Oryzias latipes: one gene and its partners. The main gene of each other region encodes a partner of the protein of the gene in region 4 in a complex. Links are inferred from orthologs where the notes say so. Each region holds a gene or a part of one and is shown on either strand. Other genes may lie near its edges.

Evidence for each region.
Region 1: ruvbl1 (region 4) and pfdn2 share a complex: the UniProt entries of both Homo sapiens proteins name them as parts of the PAQosome complex. The link is inferred for Oryzias latipes from reciprocal best matches to the Homo sapiens genes RUVBL1 and PFDN2.
Region 2: the proteins of ruvbl1 (region 4) and actr6 are in contact, whole or in part, in a cryo-EM structure (PDB 6IGM), measured with the Homo sapiens proteins. The link is inferred for Oryzias latipes from reciprocal best matches to the Homo sapiens genes RUVBL1 and ACTR6. Residues at the interface, in NP_003698.1 of Homo sapiens: Lys162, Thr163, Ala164, Lys165, Gly166, Thr167, Tyr209; in NP_071941.1 of Homo sapiens: Tyr217, Tyr300, Arg338, Cys339, Leu340, Thr341, Pro342, Thr343.
Region 3: ruvbl1 (region 4) and acidic leucine-rich nuclear phosphoprotein 32 family member E share a complex: the UniProt entries of both Homo sapiens proteins name them as parts of the SWR1-like complex. The link is inferred for Oryzias latipes from reciprocal best matches to the Homo sapiens genes RUVBL1 and ANP32E.
Region 5: ruvbl1 (region 4) and wdr92 share a complex: the UniProt entries of both Homo sapiens proteins name them as parts of the PAQosome complex. The link is inferred for Oryzias latipes from reciprocal best matches to the Homo sapiens genes RUVBL1 and DNAAF10.
Region 6: ruvbl1 (region 4) and ing3 share a complex: the UniProt entries of both Homo sapiens proteins name them as parts of the SWR1-like complex. The link is inferred for Oryzias latipes from reciprocal best matches to the Homo sapiens genes RUVBL1 and ING3.
Region 7: ruvbl1 (region 4) and ASNSD1 upstream open reading frame protein share a complex: the UniProt entries of both Homo sapiens proteins name them as parts of the PAQosome complex. The link is inferred for Oryzias latipes from reciprocal best matches to the Homo sapiens genes RUVBL1 and ASDURF.

What each region holds. Positions count from the first base shown.
Region 1 is NC_019876.2:18,973,611-18,977,891, reverse strand, and holds the start of pfdn2 (prefoldin subunit 2), read right to left. Parts: upstream 2,801-4,281; 5' UTR 2,790-2,800; coding exon 2,679-2,789; intron 427-2,678; coding exon 338-426; intron 110-337; coding exon 1-109. UniProt on the Homo sapiens protein: Binds specifically to cytosolic chaperonin (c-CPN) and transfers target proteins to it. Binds to nascent polypeptide chain and promotes folding in an environment in which there are many competing pathways for nonnative proteins.
Region 2 is NC_019864.2:26,969,165-26,973,273, reverse strand, and holds the start of actr6 (actin-related protein 6), read right to left. Parts: upstream 2,801-4,109; 5' UTR 2,672-2,800; coding exon 2,604-2,671; intron 1,698-2,603; coding exon 1,580-1,697; intron 1,510-1,579; coding exon 1,441-1,509; intron 1,358-1,440; coding exon 1,234-1,357; intron 791-1,233; coding exon 655-790; intron 586-654; coding exon 529-585; intron 458-528; coding exon 359-457; intron 239-358; coding exon 160-238; intron 1-159. UniProt on the Homo sapiens protein: Required for formation and/or maintenance of proper nucleolar structure and function. Plays a dual role in the regulation of ribosomal DNA (rDNA) transcription.
Region 3 is NC_019874.2:32,438,066-32,442,280, reverse strand, and holds the start of acidic leucine-rich nuclear phosphoprotein 32 family member E, read right to left. Parts: upstream 2,801-4,215; 5' UTR 2,703-2,800; coding exon 2,649-2,702; intron 1,358-2,648; coding exon 1,208-1,357; intron 1,024-1,207; coding exon 901-1,023; intron 833-900; coding exon 685-832; intron 530-684; coding exon 411-529; intron 326-410; coding exon 259-325; intron 1-258. UniProt on the Homo sapiens protein: Histone chaperone that specifically mediates the genome-wide removal of histone H2A.Z/H2AZ1 from the nucleosome: removes H2A.Z/H2AZ1 from its normal sites of deposition, especially from enhancer and insulator regions.
Region 4 is NC_019863.2:3,775,511-3,779,473, forward strand, and holds the start of ruvbl1 (ruvB-like 1), read left to right. Parts: upstream 1-1,163; coding exon 1,164-1,304; intron 1,305-3,396; coding exon 3,397-3,483; intron 3,484-3,571; coding exon 3,572-3,704; intron 3,705-3,963. Other genes in the region: eefsec (selenocysteine-specific elongation factor), read right to left, coding at 179-482. UniProt on the Homo sapiens protein: Possesses single-stranded DNA-stimulated ATPase and ATP-dependent DNA helicase (3' to 5') activity; hexamerization is thought to be critical for ATP hydrolysis and adjacent subunits in the ring-like structure contribute to the ATPase activity.
Region 5 is NC_019873.2:11,208,720-11,211,431, reverse strand, and holds the end of wdr92 (WD repeat-containing protein 92), read right to left. Parts: intron 1,051-2,712; coding exon 953-1,050; intron 868-952; coding exon 660-867; 3' UTR 501-659; downstream 1-500. UniProt on the Homo sapiens protein: Key assembly factor specifically required for the stability of axonemal dynein heavy chains in cytoplasm.
Region 6 is NC_019881.2:24,132,965-24,137,216, reverse strand, and holds the start of ing3 (inhibitor of growth protein 3), read right to left. Parts: upstream 2,801-4,252; 5' UTR 2,709-2,800; coding exon 2,681-2,708; exon of another isoform or gene 2,624-2,680; coding exon of another isoform or gene 2,623-2,623; intron 2,540-2,622; coding exon 2,468-2,539; intron 1,519-2,467; coding exon 1,418-1,518; intron 1,341-1,417; coding exon 1,275-1,340; intron 1,017-1,274; coding exon 920-1,016; intron 853-919; coding exon 781-852; intron 695-780; coding exon 578-694; intron 495-577; coding exon 331-494; intron 248-330; coding exon 60-247; intron 1-59. UniProt on the Homo sapiens protein: Component of the NuA4 histone acetyltransferase (HAT) complex which is involved in transcriptional activation of select genes principally by acetylation of nucleosomal histones H4 and H2A.
Region 7 is NC_019879.2:16,672,442-16,675,459, reverse strand, and holds ASNSD1 upstream open reading frame protein, read right to left. Parts: upstream 1,792-3,018; 5' UTR 1,713-1,791; coding exon 1,632-1,712; intron 1,342-1,631; coding exon 1,288-1,341; intron 1,192-1,287; coding exon 1,116-1,191; intron 1,002-1,115; coding exon 961-1,001; 3' UTR 951-960; downstream 1-950. Other genes in the region: asnsd1 (asparagine synthetase domain-containing protein 1), read right to left, coding at 1-950.

The DNA of each region.
Region 1 (4,281 bases), on a different chromosome or scaffold from region 4:
TTCCAAAGCAGGTAGAACTTCTTTCACCGTCCTCTCTACCAAAACCCCTCCAACCAGGCGATAGCATTTCCTAGAAGGGTCCACTTCCTTAAGAGTTTCAATAACTAAACTGAACACAAAAAGAAAAAAACATTAAAATTATTACTCTTTTACCACTTACCAGTTATGTGACGAGGTGAGTTACAAGATGTTTTTCTTTTTTAAGTTTAATGTATATAAAGTAAAAAGGTCAATTTAACTACAGACCAACATGATCCAATTAGCTGTCCTGCTAACAATCAAACATAAAAAGTGAGTATTATAAAAGCTCTCAGAGGAGAAGTCATCAGCTGCTAACCTGTGCTCATTGATGTCCATCTCCAGCTCTGCAGCTTTAGACGCCATGCTGCGTTGTTCCTGACGCATCCTCTGAAAGGTGGCAACCACCTGAAAACATCACCGCAAAGCTGGCATCAATGCAGACCAATGACATTTGACGCATCCGTCTGATCCCAACACAAGCATGTAAGCTGTTTCAGACTGAGGGGCTTTCAGGCTGAATAAACTTACCAAACCTTAAAAGGAAATTGTGACTTTAGAGAGTTTTTTTTTTTACCCAGTCCCTTTTGATCCAGTCCGCTTAATTTGTTCCGGACCGAGTTCCGAACCTTGCGTTAGGCCTTTATCAGACTGGCGTTAAGCGCCCCATTCTGTTAGCGACCAAAGCTTATAAACAAAACAATGTGACTAAAGATCTCTTCAGTCATTGGCCAGGAACTACGAGGGCAGATCAAAACAAGAGAAATGTGGACGTGTGCCGCTTAACAGTTAAATTATTAAAATTTTATATTTTTTTCGATTATCAGTTTTGAACGTCGGGAACAAGCCTTTTTATTTGTTACTTTGGTACGGCAAAGGCATGCTGCGAAGCGGTCAGTGGCAAGGAGACGTGCTGTGTGTGCTTTAACTCAGAGCATGCTAGTAACTGCATTGATGACGAGACGTCGGGTATGAGTAGGCTGCCACGCTCTCTCCTCTCTGAGGGGCAACCGCATGGTTGCGATAAAGAGCCCTGGAGTTTGGCCTGAATAGAGCCGTCACCACAAATATTAATCAAATCGGTGACTTCGCTTCCCTTCCACTGACTGGTCTCAGCAGCATCGTCCGCCATTGGTTGATGTTTATGTTCTTGTTCCCGCCTACTTCAACGAAAAATGATGATGTTTGCAGCGTATCAATGACGTACGGGTCGGATTCATGTGGCCTGGACGTTCAGACGGAGGTCGCATTTGAAATGATCGGATACATATCGGATTCAGGACCACATACGCAAGTGGCCTGGGTCGCATTTGAAAAGATCGGATCTGTGTCGTTCAGACTGTCATGAAAAGATCAGATACAGGTCGCATAGGGGCAAAAAACAATCAGAATTGTGTCATTTCAGCCTGCAGTGAGATACAATGTGTTTCCCATTAAAAATGATTTTAATTAGCCTGCATTCATCTGACCACATTTCAATGAGTTGCTGTGTCTCATCATTGTGGTTTTAGGGCATTGTTTTTAGAGAATTCTGTTAAGGAAACTATAATATAGCTTTTAGTCATGCCACAGGCGAATGCCGCGTAACAAGATACAGAAAAGCATGCAAGTAGCCTTTTCAGCAATGTTAAAATAAACGTTCTAACAAATAAACACTTGAACTCTTTTTTTCTGTTTGATAACACGATAATAATTGCTTATTTGTCCGCGGCTCATCTGTAGCCACATTCCTACTCTGTTTATGTCAGCTATGGTGGCCATTTAGGTTCAGTGGTATTCAGATTGAGGAATCTTAGAGCGAACCCGAGCTCAATCTGATTGGAAATTAACCAAGACCACCTGCAAAGATGGGTCAAGGTCCCAGACCTTAAAGTGAACTCTGGTTCAATTTAAGCAGACCAAATGCATAACCTTCTCCATGTTAATGATTTCAAATTGTTTTACTTTTTTTATATATAATGTATGTACCATTTTTTTTAGCTTTACTTTCTTTTTTCAATCAAGAGCAATTTATAACTTAGAATATGACTTCCTAATATGACTTAATTCACAGTATTCTTTGAACCTGTATGAAAATATTTAATTTTGACCCCAAAATTTTTTGAAGTTCATATGTATTTTTAATGTTATTTTTCAACAAACATCGAATAAAGATTAATACATTTCAACATTTGCCATTTTTATGCTAATTTGTTCCTATAGTGTGTCTACATGTTATTGTCTATCACTAAGACGTCGCTTTATACTAATAATTTGGCAACGTGTTGAAACAGTTTTTTTCTTATATGAAAGGCTTCCGTAGCCCTTGAGCTGTGCATAGTTGTTGACTGTCTGAGTAGTAAAAATAGCATCATCATGCTCTGTCAGACCCATTCTGAGGGCCACACCACCCACATACAGAATGGTGTACCTTTAGTTTATCTTTGACGTTATCCCATTCCATGATGTGCAAATAGCACAAATTGGACCTAATTTCATGCTCACAATTTCTTTCCCCTCGCATGGGTCTGACTGCAAGACACTTCTGTGGCCACGGGGAAGCTAACGTTAGCGCTGACTGGCTGTACGTCGGTTTAGTTACTTTCTGCTGAATATATACGAATAATATGTCACAATCTCAGGAGTACCGAGACAAAAGACTCCGCTACTCAATAGGATACCTGTTCGGCTGACTGCGCGGGCTGTTTTCCAGCCGCGCTGCTGCTCGATTTGCTGAACGTGCTGCTGTTGGCTGCCATCTTGATAGAGTGCACTTGAAGGACCCGACCCATGTGAAAGTTTTTTTTCACAGGCAGAGGCAGTCTCATGACTGCCTGTGTAAAAATACATCTCTAAATTCCTTTACCACTCACTACACAGTGCACTATACAGTGCGTTCGCAATTTTGTAATGCTGTCCGAATCTACAATTTCAAAATCCAGTTCCTAAGAAATTTCTCGGAAGTCTCTGCAAATTAACCAGTGTGCATCGACGCTCATTAAATTGGCCAACATAGATCAATGACAATGCATTGCGTTTTGAACATTTTTTGCGAAAACAATGTGTTGAAATGCTTTTTTTTAAACAATCAATATTTTTTTTATTTCAAGTACGCAATGAATTAATAAATAGTTGTTGTAAATTGCTTGTATTTACGACGGAGTATGTATTGATCAGATTTTCACTTCGTGAAATCGGTAACGTTATATTTCCCGTTTTAAAAAAAGAAAAAAAATAGTGAGGATGGTGTCCTAATTGCTTTTAAAACCCACGACACTATATCGTTTTTAGTAGTTGGTGATTAGGTTGGAAATTCGGACACAGCACTAAGATCAAATTGATCCTTTTTTTTAAAATGGGAAACAAGTTAAATTTCTATCTGCCCCCCACAACTGTAAGTAAGTAAGTAAGTAAGTAAGTAAGTAAGTAAGTAAGTAAGTAAGTAAGTAAGTAAGTAAGTAAGTAAGTAAGTAAGTAAATAAGTAAATAAGTAAATAAGTAAATAAGTAAATAAGTAAATAAGTAAGTAAGTAAGTAAGTAAGTGGGTAAGTTAGTAAGTAAGTAAGTAAGTAAGTAAAGGCTTATTTGATCAGCTAACAATTGATTTCTACCACGGGGTTTCACTAGATTGTGCATTGGCCAATTAGAAACTAAAATGCATTATTATTATTATTATTTTGCACATGTTTTACCATAAAATCCAAGTAGAGTACACAAGTGTAACATGTAAACATTTTCCCTCGAACAAATCAAAGGATAAAACAGTTTAACTTCTTTTAACAGAATAATCAGCCTGACATGCTACAATGACATAAAATTTAAAGAAAGAAAGGCATTTCTAATTTTAAAAAGTTTCTGCTAATTAGAAATGATCATTTCAAAAGCTTTGGGTAGTCTAACTGTTTTATTTATTTATTTTTTCATTTTCAGCTAAAATGTTCAACTTTTTCCTGTAGAGACCAAATGTATATCACTTCGCTGCATAACAATTTGACCCTATGTGATTGTTGCCACAGTGTGATAGCAAACAGCTTCTGGTATAATATTAACCAACCTTTTCTGTATGTATTTTTAAAAAAAGTCTTTCATTTAAAAATAAAATGAAATACCAAAAACTTTTTTTAAATATCTCTATATATTGTTGTATTTCAAACACTTGTGATTTTTCTCTTTACTTCTTACAATACTTCATATCGTAAATAGATTATTTTTTAATGAATCGTGTCATTTATTTATTCTAAATCGATTCTTCCTTCGTGTAAGGAAGCAGTGCACAGATATGT
Region 2 (4,109 bases), on a different chromosome or scaffold from region 4:
TAAACATCTGAAGCATGTTTTTGGACTGGGAGGAAGCCGGAGTGCCCAGAGAAAACCAATGCAACAGTTTAAATATTAATATAATGGATATTCTTTTGGGTTATTTTTCATTTTGAATGCCCGTTATGTCACAAAGGAGAGGAGATGAGAGCATCTCACCTTGCAAAAGCCTTTTTTGATGGCGCTGAAGTCAGGAAGAACATAGTCTCTCATCAAATCGTTGTCCTCACCTCTCAGTCTGCAAACACAGTAAATGTGAAAGGGTTCTCCTTTTCTTTAAAAAGTCTGGTGAATGTCTCTGAGACACGTTTAACATCACACAGGTGGACCAGCAACAATAGACGTGCATCTGTCTTACTGCGCGATCTCCATGTCTTTGTAAAACTGCTGTGAGACGTAGCAGACGTCCTCCTTCACCTGGTTGATCACATGAGTTTCATCCATCACGTGCAGCTGGCTGGAGAAGTCGTTGCAAAGAATTATTCAGTAACTTATTTGATAAACGTAAAGCTGCAGACACAAACCCACCGATAGGAGATGATTTCTTTTAAGTGATTGGTGAGCAGTTTTCCCCCAACATTGATTCTGAAACACAAAAGTGTTTACAGTTGGTATTCTCACGGTCATAAGGGCCATAAGACAGCACAGTCTTACCTGCGGATGCCATGATTCAGTTTCTTGCTGCGGCAGTAGGGGGCGATGTGTGTGAAGGAGAACCCAGAGTCCACCACCAGGCAGCAGAGCTCAGACGGTTTGGAGTGGAAGCAGTGATGAGCGCTCAGAGAGCCACCTGGAGGAGAACAAAGGCAGTAAATGTCAAATCTCTGTTCTTTCATTAGAGCAAAACGACTCCATATTCTAACCTTGATTTTGTCTGAGCATCGAGTTAACAGCACAATTCATGTGAGACATCATTGCAGCCACTGTGGTCGTTTTTGGACCACAGAATGAAAATGTCTGCTTTTATTTTGAAACCAGGAGGAAATCTTTTTTTGTAAGTCAAAGAGGATGCTTGTTCTTACTTAATGATCTTTTAGTATTTATCTGCGTGATTCTTCAAAACCTGTGTTAAAACTTTGCTCAAACTTTTAAAATGCTCTCTTCTTAACGTTTTTTAAATTCCCTGTCAAAACCTATTTTTCCTACATAAAAATGACTCTTTGAGATAAACATATTCCTATAAACTCTTTTTAAATGCGCTTGTTTGATATTCTGGTCATTTGATGAACTCACCATTGATTCGAAGAGCAGACTGAAACTGGTATTCTTCAAAGAGGATCTCATTCATGGACTCCTGGATGGAGGTGAAGTTGAAGTATGGCTCTGTGATGATGATGCTGGTGTCTGCAAAGTCAACCTACACAAGGAACTCATAGTCAGCAGCTGGAAGAGCCTACTTAACTACATGCATGACTAACATACAAAAACGGACAAGTGCACCTTAAACATCTCCTTTCCAAAAAGGTGATCCCACACCTTCCTCTGAACATCCCAGTTGACCAGGTAACCCTGCACAGACATGAGCACCTAGTAAGAAACTGTTACCCAACCTGCACTGGACCTGCAGAGGCAACCTCACCTTCTGAAAGGGGAGGATGTAAAAGAGACCCGACGGATCTTTGATCTCATCCAGCTGATTCGCCGTGAACGTTTTTAGCCGGGAATTCTTTGAGCGAAACTGACAGTTGGGAATCACGCTGAAGAAAAATAAAGACAGAAACCAAGTTAAATTGGAAAAAACAAAATGTAAAAACGTCACATCCAGTAAGATCTTCAACCCACACAAATGCTAGAGATCTGGCATAAAAACGTGAAAAAAAACCTAAATAAACTTCCCACATCTGAAGAAAAAGGGTAAAAAAGTGTCACTAAATCTTCTACTGGTTCAATCAGAAGAATGGAGAAAACAAAGACTTTTGTAGATGAAATTCAGTAGACAAAAACATAACGGAGACTAAACATCACGACACAAATATTGACAGTTTCCCTTCCTAACAAAGTTAAGTTTGTGTTCACATGCAAAGCTAGATTTTTTTTATTACATAGAATATTTTCACAACATCCTCACAATACTTTTGTTTGCGAACAATAAAAGTATCTTAGGATCTGAAGATTCTGCTACCAGATTAGCACAAACTCAGATCACAAATGCATAAACAAACAAAAACTGTTGCCAATAATAGAAACAGGGGAACCTGTAACCTAATAGTACCTGTAACAGACAAAATATTTGGAGTATTCTAAGTCTAAGGTTTGAGTACCAAAAAGAACTTGGAAAAAAAAACCTTTTGTTTTCCTATGTCCATTTTTGCAAAATTGTTCTTTGATTTACCAAAGTAAAAGTCATAATGTGTTTGCCTGACAAGAAAAGCAATTTTGCCGCATTCGATTCGTTCGAGGGTAAATCTCTGTTGTAACGTTTATAGCTTACTGCTATTACCCCCCTACACTCAGTCCCATGACTTTATGTCACAGTGCAACAAACAAACGTTTTCCAGTGGAATGAGGTTTTAATCTTTCGGGAAATAAAAAAAAACGCAATATTGATTGAAAGCATCATCGTCATCTGTGAAGTTAGCCTTGCTAAAACAAAGTAACCTCACCTGACTTTCTCCAGACTGTAACCGATCTTCGCCGTGTACGCGCCATTATCCAAAACTAAGGTAGCCATTTTAGAAGAAAAACATTTAAATAACTATTTAGTTTTTTAAGTCGTAACTACACAAAAAGCACATTGTAAACTGATCGGGCTAAATCAGCCACCATTCAGAATTGTTCCTTCTAGCCAATCACATTCAGTCTTTCATCTTTCTTCCGGACGATGGAAAGCCAATCACATCTGCGTAATCTTTTTCTTTCAGCCAATCAAAGAACAAGCCAAAGTACCTCCTGAAAAAGTGGCTCGTGCAGAAACACATTCCTGTCACAGTTCCACTTTTTAGATATTTTAACATAAATGAATTTTTCGTTTGTCAAACTAACTAAATACGCTATTAACATGTCCCCGCCTCTCTCTATATAAAGTAATTAAAGAAAAACATGATTAAAAAAAATTAGGACTCTCTTCAAATAGGAAGATTTGACAAACTTAGCAAACAATCTGCCTTTTTTCTCATCTTTTTTTTATTTTTTTATTTTTAATTTTTTTTTATTGAATGCTGGAAGAATACAGTACAAAAATATAACACTATAAAAGTACAATGTAAGAACATAACACAACTCCAAAATAGAAGTTATTATTATTATTTACGTTTTTAGCTTCTGTTGAAAACAAAAACATTTTATAAAATTAGCATCAAAGTATATCAAAAGAAAAAATCCACAAAGAGAAAGGAAAAAAAAACCACAATGGAACTAGATTAGTTTTATTGAATACATTTTATTGCTGGAGTTCCATTTTCAGTAAGAAAAGCAAGAAAAGTTAAGGTACTTCATTAGAAAATTTACCTTTGAGATTTTGAAATTTTTCCAGAAATAGAATCACAGTTAGAAAAAAGAAAGAACCACTATCTTTGTGATTAAATTGTTTAAAACCAAAAATCACGTTTTTATAATAAAGTTAAAAATCAGCAAAAACAGAGTCAGTAATGAATTTGTGGCTCTTTTTCCAGAATGTGTCAGTAAATTCACATGACCAAAATAAATGAGAACATGTTTCAGGATTTTTCTGTCAGAAAGTACAGCTGTTGTTTAAGTCAACTCTAAATTTAGATAATGTTTTGCGGGATAAAATTTGTCCAGTAGTGTAAATTAAATTTCTTTGACCTTGTTTATTGAACAGACTTATTGTGGTAAAGACCGATTTTTATTTTTCAACATAAATAATGTGTAAGATGACTTCCTCCAAAAACAGACACATTGACTGTATCTGAGGCCAAACATTTGGAGAGAGAACAAGCGTATGTACCATTACCCTGCTGCTGGACGTCATTCCATATTCCAAAAGTGGGAATTTGGGGTCTTTACAATTTTCAACAAATTCTACACTTATATCTTCTGATTGATTGGGCACACATGATGTCGGTGTCACTGTTTACTCTAGCATACCTGTCTGAACATATGAATTTTAAAAAGCACCCTCAAGAGCAGTCATTCAAATTTGCTGTTGA
Region 3 (4,215 bases), on a different chromosome or scaffold from region 4:
AACAGCAGGAGATCTGAACCTTTTTCTGCAAACAGGTGTTAGCATGACGCAGCAGGAAGTGACGTGTCTGTAGTCCATCCTCCTTCATTTGTAGTTCAACAGAATGATGTCATCTCTGCAGAAAAGGCGGAGCCTCTTTCCTCCTCTGCTTTGACCTGTGGCGTCAGCCTACAGGTCCAGGAGAACCGGGTTCTCAACCAGACCCCCCCTCATCACTTCAGGAGGGTCTGTCCATGTGAGGGAGGAGAACAGACTCACCTCCATCCTCATCTTCATCCTCTTCGTCCTCTTCCTCCTCAACATAATCTCCATCATCGTCTTCGTCCTTCAACAGAAACAGGAAGCTGCTGACTGCGCTCAGTCACAAGGAGCCCCCCCCCTCCCCCTCCCCATCTGGATCAGTGGCACACCTGGATGCCGTCCTTCATCAGGTAGGAAAGCCCCACTTCCTCTTCTTCAGAGCCGTGCTCTTCATCATCTTCGTCCTCCTCATCATCATCTCCGGGAGGACCTGCCTCCTCCTCCTCATCTAGAAAAGAACCAGTGTGTTGACAGGAAACGGATCAGGTGAGTTCAGACGGAACCAAACAAGAACTTTAGGTTTGTCTTAGACCTTCATGATTATTCTGAAGAACCAGCAGAGCGGGTTCCTCGACCTTCAGACTGTGACGGATGGCGCCTCACCGTTGTCGGACGCCTCGTTGTCCTCCTGGTCGAACCCGTCCAGGTAGGTGAGCTGTGGCAGCAGCTGGAAGACGCGCTCCCTGTAGTCGTCCAGAGAGGACACGTCGCAGCCGTACAGGTCCAGACTCTTCAGGGCCTTCAGGCTCTGCTGCAGGTCACATGACATCGCCGTGAGCAGCGGACCTCCTGGGAGGACCAGAGGAAGGCGCCACTTACCAGCGGCTCCAGGCTGCTCAGCTCCTTCAGCTTGTTGCTGCTGAGGTTGAGGTGGGTCAGGCCAGGACACTTCTCCACCAGCGTGTTCAGCCCCCCACCGATGGAGTTCTCACTGACCTCCAGCTGAAACACAGCAGTCGGGTCTCAGTTCTGCTGTAAAAGGCGGGAAGGCTGAGCGGTTCAGACCAACCTGAACCTGGAACCATTTGGTTTGCATCATTCTGAGGTCAACGTCCTTCATTCAGTTTAGACGTTTGGGAGGAAGGTCAGACCTCCTGAGGCTGCGGTCATGACCACGTCTCCTCACCTTCTGCAGTTTGGGCAGCAGGGGCATCTTGGACAGCGAGCTGAGGCCCACGTTCACCATGCTGAGGACCTCCAGCTCCGTGAACTCCTCTGACAGACCTTCCACCTCGCCGTCGCTGGAGCGGCAGTTGTCCACCACCAGCTCCCCCACCTGGAAGCAGACGGCAGCTGAGCAGACCTGCAGCCAACACCCCACCTTCGGCGCCGCAGAGCGGCCGCTTCACTCTGAGGACAGGAGGCCTCGTCTACCAGCCGGGCTCTGGTCCAGAACCGGTCCTGGTGGATTTCACAATCCCCTTAGTGTCTGCTCCAGAGAGCTTCAGAGCCTAGACGTATGTGGAAACGCTCCACCAGGCGTGTTTGGAGTTTTAACGCCATGCCATCATGGTAGCCAATCAGATGTGCAGCACTTCCCCAGAGCTCCATCCACAGCGCCACAGCTGATTGGATGAATATTTATTCTTCCTTTTCATCCGCCCGCCGTCCGCAGTCACGTGACACCAGCAGTTTTACCACCATGACGCTTTCATACGTCACCATGATGGAAACCAGACGGCCTCGGCGTTCCCGCGCCCCCTGCAGGCCGTTAGCGAAACTGCAGACGTTTGATGACAGGCAACAGGTCTGGACCAGAACCGAGCTCTGGACCTTTGGAACAACTGCAGTGTTTAGGTCCATAGAGCCCAGATGTTTGTAGGGTTCTGTATGTGAACTCATGTTTACCACAATATAGAATATGTATAGTAAAGTAAGTCCCATAAATGAGTGGTACCTATAGAAGCTAATCTGTGTTGGTGCTCCCCATTCCGAACCTGACCTCCCATTTCGAACCTGACCTCTGCACGGCTTAAGAATGAAGGCAGACGGACCGAGGACCACCGGTACCGTCCATTCCCCGCGTCCTGGTCTCGGACCGTGGCTGAGGTTCAGCTCACGTCTGCCCGATATTCCGCCAGAAGGCTGTTTGAAATGGACCGAACCCACCCGGGTCCCCAACAGCCAGCCGTGCATCGAAAAAATCCAGCTCCGAGACTGGACTGCGCATGCGCATTGAAAGTGGTCCGAACAGACTCACCGAGCTGGAGCTTCAAGCTAAAACGGCGCCGAAGCATTTCAGCAGAACTGCGGTTCGTCAGGATCACCACTGTCATCGGAACCGCGATCATCCTACGGCGGGAAGTCGCCCCGCTGCACACAGTCAACGGAACCCGACCGAAACAGACCCAAACCGGCTCGCGGCTCTTTCTCCACATTAGCTAGCTAGCTGGAGCTGCCTCGAGGCTTCTCCACGGAACACAGGAAACCCGCACGTGGAGCGGGCGGGAAACAGAGCTCCGCTACTAGAGCCGCGCGGGTGTAGCTCGCGCTAAGACGACGGAACACGCGCGCGCGTCTTTACCGCTAACGCAGAAAACAGGAGCGGCTGCGGGATTCTCACGCACCTCGGTGGGACTTCGGTTTCGGAGCTCGAGGCTGATCCTCTTCTTCATCTCCATGATGAAGCAGGAGCACAGAAAGTAGCAAAACAAAAGAGATGGCGCGCACGCGCGGCTCAGTCCTCTGTCGCGAACACGCCTCCTCACGCATTTCAAAGGCTCCGGATCCACGTGGGATCTGATTGGTTCGGTCTGAAGCTCCGCCCCCACAGCGTACGACTGAATACTCTTGACCGCGATTGGTCTGAACGTCAGGACTGACCAATGAGAATGCGAAGATAGACCCTTTTTTAAAATGTTTAGGCTCCTCCCCTTTCTGTAGAAACAGGCTGATCTAAGAAACCAGAGGATCCCAAACACGAGATCAATCTGGGATTTCCTATTCTACAGAGCAGAACGTGAACTCATCAGGAGAACATCAATCACCTTTGAGGGGATTGCTGTCTTAAAACATCATGAATCGGACCGCCACCTGCTCCGGTTCTGGTTGGCTGGATAAACAGATCCAGTTCAGTTTCAGAACAGTCGTTTTATTCTGTTTTCTTAAAAAACAAACATGTACACCTGAAATCACAGCCAGAAATAAATAACAGCAAACTCAGGGTTTGGTTCTGGTCGGACCCGGCTGCTCTGAGCGAAGGCCAATCCAACCAGAGCAATGAGGAGAGACAGAAAACTTCAACACCATCAGTGCAGGTCCAACAGAACCGCAAATGCTCAGACCATCCAGAAAGATGTGAGAGGAGGAGTCATGACTCATGGGGAGGAGTCATAACTCATGGGGAGGAGTCACGAATAATGGGGAGGAGTCATGACTCATGGGGAGGAGTCATGACTCATGGGGAGGAGTCACGAATAATGGGGAGGAGTCATGACTCATGGGGAGGAGTCATAACTCATGGGGAGGAGTCACGACTAATGGGGAGGAGTCATGACTCATGGGGAGGAGTCATGACTCATGGGGAGGAGTCATGACTCATGGGGAGGAGTTAGATAAAAGGTGATCATCAAGAGAGCGTTGAGGGAGTTAAAAAGGAACTGAGCATGCTCAGTGGAGATCTTCTGGTTCCGAAATGACATCAATAAATAAACTGTAACAATTTAACAGTAAATTGTTGTAGTTCAACAGGAAGTGATGTCACTACATCATCTTCAGACTTCCTGTCTGGGTGGAGCTTCGGGACTCTTCATGCAGGTTCTGAGGAGGTGAGAAGGACAAACCGGTCTCATATTTACAGAATGGGGGCTCAGTCTGACCGCTCAGTCCACGATGGAGGCTCTGCGTGACCTGCAGGAAGGTCAGGGAGACCAGGAGAACTTCAGGGAGCTGGCAGAGAGCCCCCGCTTTGGGGTCTTCAGGCGGCTGGCAGGTGAGGAGTGGACTGCCTTCAGAGAACCTCTTTCATCTCTGATATGCAGAACAAAGTTCTGTTCAGCGGAAGCTTCAGGAACCAGAACTGTTCCCAGGTTTGAAGAAGAACGATGCTCCGGATGAGAACCTGGTCTGGAGAACCAGAAGATGGTTCTCAGGATGTAGAGTCCGTCTCTGAGCATCACATCCGGTCCAGGACCC
Region 4 (3,963 bases):
TCAATCAATCAATCAATCAATCAATCAATCAATCAATCAATCAATCATATAACAGAACAGCCTTTGCCACCATTGCATACTGTCTGAATGCCTCGGAGGGCTTGGGAATGTTGGACCTTGAGCCCCTGACCCTTCATGATGCTCAGTCCATCCATGATCTTCCACAGGTTTACGTTACCTCCGATAATTGTTCGGATCAGAGAGGCGTGGCCTGGACAGTCCACCAGGGTAAACTGCAGACTGTCGTACGGCTTCAGGCCCCCGCCGTCCCGCAGGTGATCCGGACAATCCACCGTGAAGGAGGAGAAGCCGAGGTCTAACGTGATGCCTCTCTCCCGGGACTGTGGGTTCTTGTCGAAAGCAGCCGTGGAGGCGGTGCTGCTCAGCGCTCTGGCCAGCGACGTCTTCCCGCTGTCGACATGTCCGAGGACCCCCACGTTGAAATTTAACGTTTTCGTGCGGCTGTCATGAGACTCGGACATCCTCTCGAAGTTTCCGAGCACGAACGTTTTCCTACCTTGAAACCTGAGCACCGCGTTGATAGTTATTTGGAAAAAAAATAACGTTCACTGCGTTAGTTGGTCAAATCAACAAGTCATTTTCGGTGCCTAAAGTGTCCCTAAAAAACTGCAGAGTTTATGGTGCTTACACTTTATTTCGTCCCCGATTACAAGACGAACCGGAACGTTTATATGCGGGGAACAAACCAAAATAAGAAAAATGTGATATTTAAATATTACAATTTAATAAAAAAATATAACACAGAAATATATTTCTATGTATAAAATAAATATTTTAAATTATCGATCAATTAGTGTTTTTTATACTGAGGCCTTTTTTGTGTGTTTCTATTACAACAAAATAAAACGAAGCACAGGAGGAAACAGGGGTGTGGTTTCAACTTTGATTGACAGAACATTGACTAATCAGAAATGCTCTTATCATGAGGAAAACCAATGGTTTTCAGACTAGTTAAAATGGGCGGTACCTCAGGGGTGTCGATTCCTGCTTTTTTCCCCTGGTAACCCACATGGAAACCGTGTTTTGACTTTTGGCGCCTCATGTAGTGGTCAGAGAAACGCAGACACTTAGGTGACATTTTTTAAACTTTACTTTGCGGCTTGGACAGTATTATAGCCAGTGCTCCTGTAACACTTGCAAATATGAAAATCGAGGAGGTAAAAAGCACCACAAAGACCCAGCGAATAGCTTCACACAGTCACGTCAAGGGACTCGGGCTAGACGAGGCCGGCAATGCTAAACAGACAGCATGCGGACTGGTCGGACAGGAGGCTGCCAGAGAGGTGATGTTAATCATCTTTTTTCTGTTTCAATTGTATTTTATTTTCCTTCAGACATTACTTGCACATAAGTTCCTATGAGAACACGGTAGCAAATTGCTAACCCCTGATGCTAACTGAGTTAGCACAGCTGCGTAGTTTTCTTCTCAGATAACCTGCGAGACTCCTCCTTAGTTAAATTAACACACAGTTTCCAAAGTAGCGATTTATTTTTTTTATTTCATTTAATATATTTCTTAAATTAAATTTAAAAAAATGAATTGAAATCTCTTGATTATATTTCCATCATACAGGTACAATTTTTATTTTATTGGGAAAGAAAAACGAAATGTGAAACTCAAACTAAGGTATATTTCTTATTACACATTTGTAAGTCGACAAAGAATCTACATCAAAACCGTCATAAAGTCAAATGTGATCTGTAGATTATTTAATTTTATTTATTGGATGGAACTAACAGCACTGACAGTTATTTCTTTATAATGGAAAATTGTTGGAACCATAATAAACAGTCATCATATTATTTTTTTTGTGTTTTTTGTTTGCTATTGTTACATTATGGCTGCTAAATAATTAAAAATGCAAAGAAAACTCTAATACATTATATAGATCGCAGTGTATTTTCTAGACTCTAAAGTGGAACAAGGCAGGATAATCGCCTCTAAAACACGTTTTATTTTATTTTTATTTGATGAAGAAGTTCATAACAGGATTTTCAACTTAATTTCATGATGTATTACTTCAGTTTTTAATTTCATTCCATTCTAAAAGCAGTATTGGGTGGATGTTAAAATATGTTTTTACATGCGTCGGAGGTTTCAACTGACCGATTGCACTTAAACACTGTTTTGAATTCTTACCTAAGAATCATCCTATTATAAGGAAAATTAAAATCAACACTGCACTGGCAAAGTTAAAAAAATAAACGATAATAATAATAATTTCCGTTTGTGTTTTTACCTACCCAAACAAGATTGTCTGTGCTGGTTTTAAAGGGCCAGTATCATGGTATTCTTAAGCCTTTTTTAGGGGGGGGGGGGTCCTGTGGTAGCATATTCTGTGAACTTGAGTGGGCGGTGGGGAGGGGGGGGCGACGACGACATTATATGGGATTTCTACCGAATATTAATGTAACGTCTTGCTTTAAATTTTTAAAATTTGAACATGTTTTTGTGTAAAGCACTTTGAGGGGCTCTAGAGGGAAAAGTGCTACACTAATAAAGTTTGATTTGATTTGATACGACGTTGAAATGACATTTATAAATCTCAGTTTGAGTCCTGCAAAAATGTATATCACCAAAACAATATCAATGTATCTGATAATACATCCTGTGGCACACAAAAGAACAAATCGACCTGCAACTTTCACGTTTCTGTTTATTAGTCTTACTCAACATCGTAGTTATAAAGACAGTTTTCCTTTTTCCTCATTGTTATACTTTAAACTAGGCCTGCACAATATACCGCAAATTTATCGTTATCGCAATATCCAGCTCTGCAATATGCATATCGCAAAAGACGGCGAATATCGCAATAAATCGCAAGCCCAAAATGTGTTAAAACAATCTTCTAGCAGCTTGAAGCATTTAACGAATCAAATAAATCCCTTTATGCTTTGACCAATCAGATGGACGCCTTCCCATTGTTGACCAATCAGATGGAGGCCTATTATGTTAACCCTGGTCCTGAAGAGCCTCAACCCTGCCTGTTTTCCAGCTCTCCTTAACCAGCTTGCTGTTGATTGGCTGACTCAAGTGATTTCACATCCTGATTGACTGAACACACCTGATTTTGGTTATCATTATCGAGCAGTCTAGGGAGAACTGGAAAACAGACAGGGTTGAGGCTCTTGAGGACCAGGGTTAGCCACCCTGACGTTTGTCCCCCATGTCGATGAGGGTCATTTGGAGTATAATTTTTAAACTGTTGCAATGAAATGGGAATGATGTTTTTGTTTATTTTTCTATTTGTTTATTTACCGCAAATTTATCGTTATCGCAATATTGATCACTAATATCGCATATCGCAAGTTTTCCTCATATCGTGCAGCCCTACTTTAAATGTTGTATTTCTCTTTGGTTTCTCTACCCTTTAGGCTTGTGGCATTATTGTTGAGCTGATCCAGGCCAAAAAGATGGCAGGAAGGGCCATTTTACTGGCAGGACCCCCTGGAACAGGAAAGGTAAAGCATCAGTGAAGATGCCGGCGGACTCTAACGCTCGTCCTTCATGCAGACTCTTACTGTGACGCCGTGTGTCTTCTGCCTTTAGACGGCCCTGGCTTTGGCCATCGCTCAGGAGCTGGGGAACAAGGTTCCGTTTTGCCCCATGGTGGGCAGTGAGGTCTACTCGTCTGAGATAAAGAAAACAGAAGTATTGATGGAGAATTTCAGGAGGGCAATTGGTGAGTGTAATCGATCCATTTATCCAACAGGAACCATGGCAACCAAGCCAGATAGTTTTGGAATTATATCCATGAAGACATAGGGTTTGTTAAAGCAGAGAAAAAACGTTTTTTCACAACTTTGCAGCGTTTGAAATAAGCAGTTATCCTGTTGTCAGAGACAACCAGATTTCCCGGAGGACAACCCCAAATGAACACGATGGTTGTCCGTGTGACAACCTGGTCTTTTATTCAACATTTTTGGGAAACCGACGTCCGA
Region 5 (2,712 bases), on a different chromosome or scaffold from region 4:
GATTGTAAGCAGGAGTCGGTCTAACATTCATTTCAGAGCATAAACATTTATCTTAAGATAAAGATAAGAATTTTTGACTAATTTGATTTTTAAAAAAATCAAGTTTTACATCTTGAATATGGTTGGGGATGGAACAACAGCAAACAAAAACTCTGGTTTTTGCTACTAAAGTTTCCATTAAGGTTTGCAGTGGAAGAAGAAGAAGCCCCTCCCTGCTGGTCCAGTGTGAACACTATGGGCTAAACATCCAGACCAACAAACCTTTGCAGTCTGAATACACCCTTGAGTTGACAGTGTGAGGCACTGTAAGCTAGAGGCAGAGCTCTCAGTAACATGGAGGGGAAGGGGGGTTGGGCTTGCCCCAAACCAACAGTCTTGTCAACAACTCAGAGGTGAATTTCTAATGAATCTTCTGCTGCTCTGCAGAAACTAGGTCCTAGAAAATGACACAGGTTTTAGATTTCGGTAAAATGGCAGAATCAGAATTAAAAGACTTTAAAAATAGATAAAAAAATCTTTAATGAACAAGTCAGATCTAAGAGGATAAATAACAGTTTAACTTAGGACAGCAGAACTTTGATCTTTGTCCAGGAACCCCACCATCCAGGCTCAGATTGTTCTGCGAGGCACATTTGGTCCATGTTCTGTCTGGCCCCGCCTCACACCGTGTTGAGCTTGGTGACGATGAGCACACGCACAGACTGGTCGAACGCCGAGCACACGCACAGACCCTGCTTGTCGGGGCTCCAGTCCAGGCTGGTGATCGGCTGCGTGGACAGGGTGACGTTCTGCAGGAGGCTGAGCGAGCCGGCCACGCCCCCTGCCACACCCTCACAGTCCTTCTCGCTCCTTTGAGCTGGATACTCACTAAGTGGAACATTTTCAAGTAAATAATCAAACTGCTAGAACAGGAAAGTACATTTCTGGAAAGCAAACATTTTTGAAGACTTACTATTTCCACAGATGCAGATTTCCCGACCCGCCTGTTGTCATGAAGACGTCTCTGCTCTGAGGTAAATGTCTGACCTGCCAGATGGTTGATTTATGAGCCTAAAACCACAGAGATGCACTTCAGTCTCAGCACCTTTCCCTCACTCCGGCGGCGGTTTGTCTCTTTAAACATCAAATTGAACTCAAGGTTGATCCGCTCTGTTGTTTCTTAAGGCCTGTTCACACCGGTGTAGGTACCGGATGTTCTCGGGTTGCCGGATGTTCTCGGGGTCCTTCAGGGTCCTTCCAATGAGTTATATCACTAGAGGAGACATCACGTGGTTCCTCATAGGAGGAGAGCACCGCCATCTTGGTGAGGTCAAGTTTTGAAGACCAAACCACTTTTATAACATTTAATAAAGAGCTCTGTTTTTGCTTTCAATCACTTCATTATATGAAAAAGAAGAATGGCTTGAAATTGCTTAGTTTTGTTCAGAAATACAAACTTCACGAGTACCCCTAACTTAACTAGTATTAGACTGCTTAGATTTTTTTCTATGTTCCTTTATTTTATTTTACTTATGTTTTTATTTATTTGTGTGTAATGTTGATTGTTTCTTTTTTTCCCCTCTATTCTTTATTTTCTATGTCAATATGTTATATTTGGCAATGGTGACTGATCTTCGAGGCAATATTGATTACATCGTTATTGTTCGTTGTTAACGTTAATGTCATTTTTTTTTTTATTATTATTTTTTTTTTTTTTATTGATGCAGAACAAAAGTGACATACAGCAAAAGAACAAGGAACAATAAGCTGTACATCAAATGTTCAAAATAAACGCCAGGGGATATACAAGCAAAAAAATAAACTTACACTAAATTATACAGCTGAGCAAGGTGATACGTTTTTGTTAATGTATGATACCCCAATTGTCAATAAAGTTTTTAAAAAAACTTAGCGACGTTAACTCATTGGTCGTGGCAACTTACAGCCAATCAAATAGTGTGACGTCATCATTGGTCGAAGGACCCCGAAGGACCCCGAGAACATCCGGCAACCCGAGAACATCCGGTACCCACACCGGGACGAATTTCGCCGGCGATTTTCGCCGACGTTTAACGCCTCGTGACTAAACAAAGGGCACCAACGAGAGTGTGCACACCAACGCGAAAAAACGCCAGGCGTTGAAGCGTCAAAAAAAAAAAACGCCTTGGGTTCGTTTTTTTTTTCGACGCGTTGCGTCGAAATCTACTCGACCAATGAGAATTGCGCTTTTGCTCACGTGTCTGGAGCTTCTGAAGTTACAGTAAAACACAACTTGGGGGCGCTCAAACACAAAACTGCCTTGCTGAGCACACATACCAGCGAAGAAGATAGACGCCAAGTAGCGTCTACACACAGCCGCGAAGCAATAATGACGGACATTCTAAAATATCCCCGAACCAAGCACCAGTTGGAGCTAATGGTGCTTGAAATATTCATGTTTTCTTTGTATTATTCTGACAAGCGCGTAAATACTTGCTCTCTTCTTCTGAGTGAAAAGCGACTTTCAGAAGCGTAAAGTTGCGCAGCGCCACCTTGTGTACAGGAGTATTTCTGTTTTACATTAAGCGCCATCTAATGTCAGGGAATGAAATTGCATGTTCACTCCACTCATCGTCAGCGAAAATCGCCTGGGTGTGAACACAAAAAACGTGGCGAAAAACGCCTGGCGAATATTCGTCCTGGTGTGTACGGGCCTTTAATCTTTGACTGGGAACATGTCGGAAACATCCTAAT
Region 6 (4,252 bases), on a different chromosome or scaffold from region 4:
AACAGGGACTAGAGGTCAGACGGGTCCGAGACACCTGCGGTGGGACGGGGGTAACTTACTTTGACTTCCGACCTCTGGAGTCAGAGGTGGTGCTGGGAGTGAGCGTCTGGGTGAGGGTGGAGGCCAGGGCGGAGGAGGAGTAGGAGCCGTCCCGGGACACGGAGAACTCTCGGCCCAGCTGGAAGTCGTTGTTCTTGATGGCCTCGTAGCTGGCTTTGAGGCTGGAGGTCCGGCGGCCTTCCTTCATCTGATGGGACGGAACAGACGGGGGATGGAGCGCCACCAGCGGGGCCGACATGCACGATTTTAGGATGGGGGTCGGGTTCTGACCTGGGCTGTGGCCTGTACGGCCTGCGCCGCCGCCAAGGTGATGGCGCCGGCGCCGGCCCCGGGTCCTGCGGGCAGAGCGCTCAGGTTGTAGGAAGCCAGGGGCTGAGAGGAGTTGAGGCTGTAGGCGCTGTTGGTGGATGCAGACATGCTGTTGGTGCGGCAACCTAGGGGGCAGGAGGGGGGGGGGGCAGTTAGCTGCGTGGAGGCTCCGCCCTCCAGCTGCATGGCTGTTATCTGCAGATGCTACCTGGCGTGTTCTCCTTGGACGGATCCGAGGTGAGTGTAGACAGCAGAGCCTCAGACTTGAACTTCTTCTCAGGAATGTGCTCCACCGTGTGGTGGGCGGGGGCGCTGCACTTCCTCTCTGTGGACAGAGGACACGGTGACACGTGAACCTGCTGCAGAGGTCCTGACATCACGAGGCGGAGCTGAGGGCGTGCAGCAGCTTACTCTCGGCTGTTATGTGCGAGTGCATGTGATGGTTGTTGACCGGCTGGGAGGGACTGTCCATCTCCAGTGACCCTGAGAAGAGCACAAGGTCACCGCTCTGCCTTTCAGCCCCAACGAGTCGCTCTGGAATCGAACTCACGTCTCTCCAGGATCTCTGTGATGCCGGCATTGTCTGCCTCCAGCTCCATTTTGAACTTGGCCAGCTCCTGGTCCAGTTTCCGCAGGTGCCGGTCCACCTGGAGGCAGAGGAGACAACAGGTCACATGAGCTTCTGGACGCGGTGCAGCAGGTAGACCCGGTCCAGCTGCTGCGGGGCGTCTGTTGGTGATGAGGGAGGAAAGCTCCTCCCCAGTGGTGTTAGGGACAGACAAAACTGTCAGGGAACTCCGTCCTGCTACGGTGGAACCTCCAGGCGATCCGGCAAACCCAGCTGGACCGTCACTGTGCAGGAGGTCAGAGACCATCCGGTCAGAGCGGCAGACGGTTCCACTCACCAGATCATAAATCTGATTGGCCAGCTGTACTTTCTCATCTGCGTCCTCCAGGGCCTTGTAATAATCCTGAAACACACCAGAAACAGAATCTAGATCTGACAGGTTCCTTCGGGTTCCTCCAGAACCAGCAGCAGATTCCAGACCTTCTTGATAACCTCCATTTGCTCCTCTCTCCACTCAGGTTTGTTCTTCTTTGCATTGATGAAGAAATCAATGACCCTCTGCTCCAGCTGGTCTGTGGCGTCTGAAACAAAGAGGCGGGAAAGAACTAAAGCACATGACATCAGCTTTCTGGTGCTGGTTCTGGATCAGACAGGAACCTAGAAGAACTCTCTTACTGTCTCCAAAGTTCTTCCACCTGCAACTGCATCAGAGGTCAGATCTGAGACTGGGGGGGGGGGGGTCAGTCCACCTAACTCTGACCCTCCAACAGCTAGGGGTCACAGATGACCCTGGAGGACTTTACAACTGAACTAGGGCTGCACGAGATGAGCAAAACTCGCCATTTCCAACATTACTGATGAATATTGCAATGACCATATAAGTTGTGATGCATATAGCAAACTATCTAAATAGATCATTTCCATTTCACTGCAACAGCTTCAATTAAATTTAAAGTGTACGTTAAATTACACTCCGAATGCCCCCCCCCCCCCCCCTACATCAAAGGGCTCCATCTGGTTGGTCAAATGCATTAATGGATTTATGTGATTCCTTAAATCCTTCAAGCTGCCATAAGATTGTTTGAGCACATTTAAAGTTACATTTATCACAGCTTGATATCAGGATAACGATAAATGAGTGACTGAATGTGCCTCAACTAACAAATACTGATGTGATAAAAGTTTGAACAGCAGCTGCGGTCATGACGTCAACATGAAAGGCGGCGGATAATGAAGGGATGTGCTTTGATCACCATGACCGCCTGACAAAAAGGGGAGGGGCTTCAGAATCTCAGCCACATATGCGTAAAGTGGCGCACGCAGCTCTACAAAACCTCACTTAGTGAATTATTAAACGAGCTGAAAGGTTGATAAGTTCCGTTGACGTGACTGAGGTGTCACCGGGTTCACGGACATGTCAGGTGTGTTAGCTCCGGTAATCTGGCCTTTTTTAACCGCTCGCTGGCGGTTCGAGTCTCCGTGCCGCGGCAGATGTCCCAGCCGAGCCCGGTGGTTGGCGGAAATACGTACTCTGCACCTGCAGGTCCATCTCCCGCATTTCCGTGAACCTATCGCGGAGGTCCATGGGAAGCTGCTCGATCACTGCCGGAAAAGGAAAAACACGTTAGCATCCGCTGCAGCTAGGCTAACGGAAATGCACGCGGCGGCCACACATAGACACACACTGTGCACACATAACGGGCCGAAGTCGGTACCGCCGCGACGCCCCGGTCCGGTACTCACTCTCAAGGTAATCTTCTAGGTACAGCATGGTGGCAAAGTTCGCGCTTTGGCCGTTTTAGGACAGAAACGGCTTCTTCCAATATGGCGCTGCCTCGCTGACAAAAACACTGGAAAAAAAATGAGGTCAGACTGCGCCTGCGTGACGTACGCGGCTTTCGGATTGGTTCAACAATGAGGGCGCGGTTTTTCCTGTTGTTAAAGGAAATGCATCATGGGAATAGTAGTTTAACTTGCATACTTTTGGACTTTGCACCAAATAAAGATGTTTTACTTAAGATTTTCGCTAATATTATAAACAGAAGGTGGGCTTGGCCTGAGATTATTTAGCTGCTGAGACCTTAAGCAACGGGTCTGTTTGTCTGTGATGAAAATATCAGGACAGAAACGCTGCTATAAACCAAAAATCACTTCATAAGGAAATCACCGATCTATGTTTTGCCTATCTGCACCTTTCTTTCCTTCCTTTCTTTTTAAATCTTTTTTTTTTCTTCCTTTTCTTTTAAAGTAAATTTTATGTTGATTATTTCTATGATGTATTGTGATTTTAATGCATTTTTCTGTTTTGTGAAGCACCTTGAATTACTTTGTGTACGAATTGTGCTATACAAATAAACTTGCCTTGCCTTGCCTTGGACATGATCTGCTTCCATGCCCTCACAAAGTTGAGCAAAACATCTGGAGTTCACAGCATTACTTTGAATGAAGTTGATGGTTTTCACAGTGACATCCATCACCTCATGGAACTCTGGAGACATTTTTTTTGCTGCAAGGTTTTCACGGTGGAGAAAACAATGGGTCCATTTAGCTTCTGGCGCAAGATCAAGTATCTGCTTGATGACACCGCGATGCCTGCCAGTCATTGACGCTGCGCCATCACAGCACACTCCAACACCGTTCTGCCAGTCAAGGCCATTCTCAGTGAAGTAGTTATCCATGCAGCGGAAACATTCCTCAGCTGTAGCTCGAGTTGGAAATTCTCCACAAAACAGAATGTCTTCTTGCAAAGAGCTATCCCACCGGTAGCGAACAAAAACCAACAGCAGCGCAGCATTTGTGACGTCAGTCGACTGGTCCAGCTGCAAAGAGAAAAAGGGGCTCTGTCTTATTCTCCCCAGAAGCTGCTGCTCAATGTCTGAGGCCCTGTCAGCAATATGGTGACTCACAATGTCATTCGACAGCGGGATGGTCTTGAGCTTCTTTGCTGCAGCCTCACCAATCATCTCACGGCACATGTCCACAGCGGCAGGCAGAACCAGTTCCTCCGCTATGGTGAACGCTTTCTTACTCTGCGCCACACGTCTGGCTACGAGGTAGCTGGCCTTTAACGCACACTTAGCGTCGCCAGTCAGTGACACGATGGACCCCCTCTGCATCTGAAGCCCATCATCCTTTCTTTTGAAATAATCCACTGGCTTTCCAATGAGCTTCGGATGTTTGGTTTCCAGATGGTGCTTTAATTTTGACGGTTTTAGTGCTTCATTGGATAATGTTAGCCCACACTCAACACACTGGGCTCTGCCTCACTGCCTCCGTTCACAAAGCCGAACTTTATAAAATCAGGGTTGTATTTTC
Region 7 (3,018 bases), on a different chromosome or scaffold from region 4:
ATGCCTCCTGAAAAGAGTATAGCAATGCTAGCCTGGCCACTGCTAAGAGGTAAATTATCTTTTGCCACAAAAGGCAACGAATGAACTCGTCGCCTCACCGCCTCACTCAGGACACCAATTAGACGGTTCACAACTTCAGTTTTCTCCTTGCTGATTAGAAACTCCTCTAGATTTCCTCCAGACACCTGTGAACTGGGATTAACTTCAACCTTTTTTTCTGGAATGGACATATTCAAAGGACAAACAGGTGAAGTGATTGATAAACCTGCTCGATTTATCTCAAAATTGCACCCACTAGGGACAGAGTTAACCATCATTTCACTCAATGATGGGTTTATGACATTTCTTGCCCAGGGAAAAAGCTCAAAGGACACAGAACCACTCTGTGCAGCTGCCTTTACATCAACCTTAAACACGCCAACAGCTGGGACTTCTTTCCAATCAGACTGACCCAGCGCAGAAATCCCAGCTGCCACTGAGGTCAAAGTGAAGACACTGATCTCGGCGTCATATTTCCACAGCAAGCTGCGCCTTCCAAAAAGGTCTCTCCCAAACCAGAGATAATCTTCAGCCTTTTGATAGAAAACAAATGCCCAAGGCCCTTGAATGGCAGACAGAAGTGCCAGAACCTCCAAAGAGTTTTTACAAGATGACAATTTCTGACAGATGACAGTGGTGTCATTCTCTTCTGGCATCACAGAAATCCCTCCAAAAACCTCTCCATTCCACATCAAGACATTTCCAGCGTCGTCTTGAAACGGCTGAAGAGTAAGGAGGCCTCTCATATGGAGAACATGGGCAGAAAATGAGCAGTGATAGCTCAAATCTACAGCAGGAAACGATAGCTCCCTGCTAGAGTTGGGGCCCCTTCTCTTCAGAAATTCATAAATTCTTTTGTCCTTCTCAAATTGAGCAGCTGACAAAGTCAACTGGAAAAAGATTCCACACATTGTTGCAGCTCTAAATATCCTGCAGTTCTTTTTTCAAGTAATCCAGTTCCTCTGCAAGAATAAAAATAAAAAAAGTTTTAAAAAAAAAAAGGTGAGTTATATTGTAGTATGGTACAACATTGTAAAAATTTCAATGCAAGAGGATAAATGAATACTAACACATACTTCTGCTTGTAGACAATGTTTGACTTCTGTCAGCCAGGAAGAAAATGTTGCTGTTTCTCTGTTGGATGTAAACTTTCTGAAGAAAAGAAAAAAAAAATCAATAAAAAATGAATTTATTACGACGGATGGATGGATTTATGGATGGATGGATGTAAAAAGGTAATTACCGTACCCTGTTCTTCTTTAGGTTAGAGAGTTCATCCACAACGACCTTTTGCTCTTTGATCTGGAAATTAGCAACAAGTTAACGTTAACAACCCTATGATGATGAAGCCATCAGGAGATGTATCCCATCATGTTAAGTTTTAATTTAAAGATCAGCAGTCCTTCATTTTTCCAGCAAACATGAGAAAATCGAAACTTATTAAAACAGTAAATACATACTATTGGTGCGTAAATACTAACAAAAGTATTGCTATTCGTTTTTCCGTTCTACTATACATGCTGAAAAAGGTGAATAAACATATCCGTGTTGTTTAGCCAGCTAACAGTAGCGCGTCTTTGATATAAAGTTACCTTTTTACTGAGTTCCTCTTTATATGTGGTTTGCTCTTGGGAATTATCGCTGTTATTGTATTTTTTTGAAGACATTTTCATAAAGGAGCCACGAGGGAAAACTTTTTATCTAATTTTTCTCTTAACAGCGTCTACTTCTGCGACAAACATGTCCGGATATGCGTCATAACCGTTCCGGGTGAAGAAATAGGTGGGGAGTTCGAAGCACACTGCCGCCTAGAGGCCAGATTTGTAAAACACCCGCTACACATCTCAGGGTCCGGGGCCTGCCAAATTATAGGTAACCAAGGGGTAAACACAGATTGAATAAGAATGTCTTTAAATAACAGATTTGATGTAATTTACTTTCTTAAGACTAAAAAAATAGTATTGGGCTACTACAAAAAAGTTTTTTAAACGGAATTGGGTTAAAATTTAATCAGCTAAGCAAGTTCGAGACAGAAGAAGTTAGACTTTTCTGTTTCTACCCGGTTTTAATTTTCATTTAAAGTGACACTTCCATATAAGAAAAAAGCAACAAAAAGAAACACTGATTAAATAAAATCAATTAAGCATAAATTAAATAATGAATCCATTGCACATCTGATATGTTGATCATTTTTGATCAGTTTTCAAAACCACCTGAAGCTATTAAGTAGTCTTTAAAAACACCCAATTAACTGTCTGTGTCTTGTTCCTTTTTTTCTTTTCCTTTTTTTTCTGACATCAGAGCCTCTGAAAGCTGCACCTTTGTTAACCCTACCCTTTACTTTAACCCCAGAAACACTTCTTAAAATATTGCTTTTGGGGGGAAATACACCTCCAGCCAATTGTTGCTAGGCTGGAACAGTATCTCTAGTTAAAAAAGTATTTTTTCATTGTTTACTTGTAAAACTAAACTAAAGTAGTGGCTGAAGACAAACCAACCTGCCTTGTCTTAAGATAATTTAGCTTTTTTATATTTTAGTTATAATATGACATGCTTTCATCTGCTGATGTTGAATCATCAAATTAAAAATAACACATGCAAGTGCATTTTTTCGGGGACTAAAGCTTTTTGTTGACTTGATCTGTCTGTAGACGAACAGATGCTTAACCCCCTTTAAAAGCAGTTTCAACCTAACCCCCACCTCCCTGCTCAAAGATCACACAACCAAAAAAAAATGAATGTTGAAATACCTGCTGAACTCTGCAGCTTATTTCAACCTTGTCTTTGCCTTTTTTCTTTTGAAGTCTCTCAGCATTTAAATAGCTTTTGCATACCTCATAGTTGTTTTGTTTTTTTTACTCTTCAGTTTGAGTCAAAACTGTGCCATGAAGCTCCTAAGATGGAGAGAAAGCTAAAATAGTATTTTTCCTTATTTATGCTGCTGGTGATCTATTATTATTGAAAAAAATAAAGTTTGCA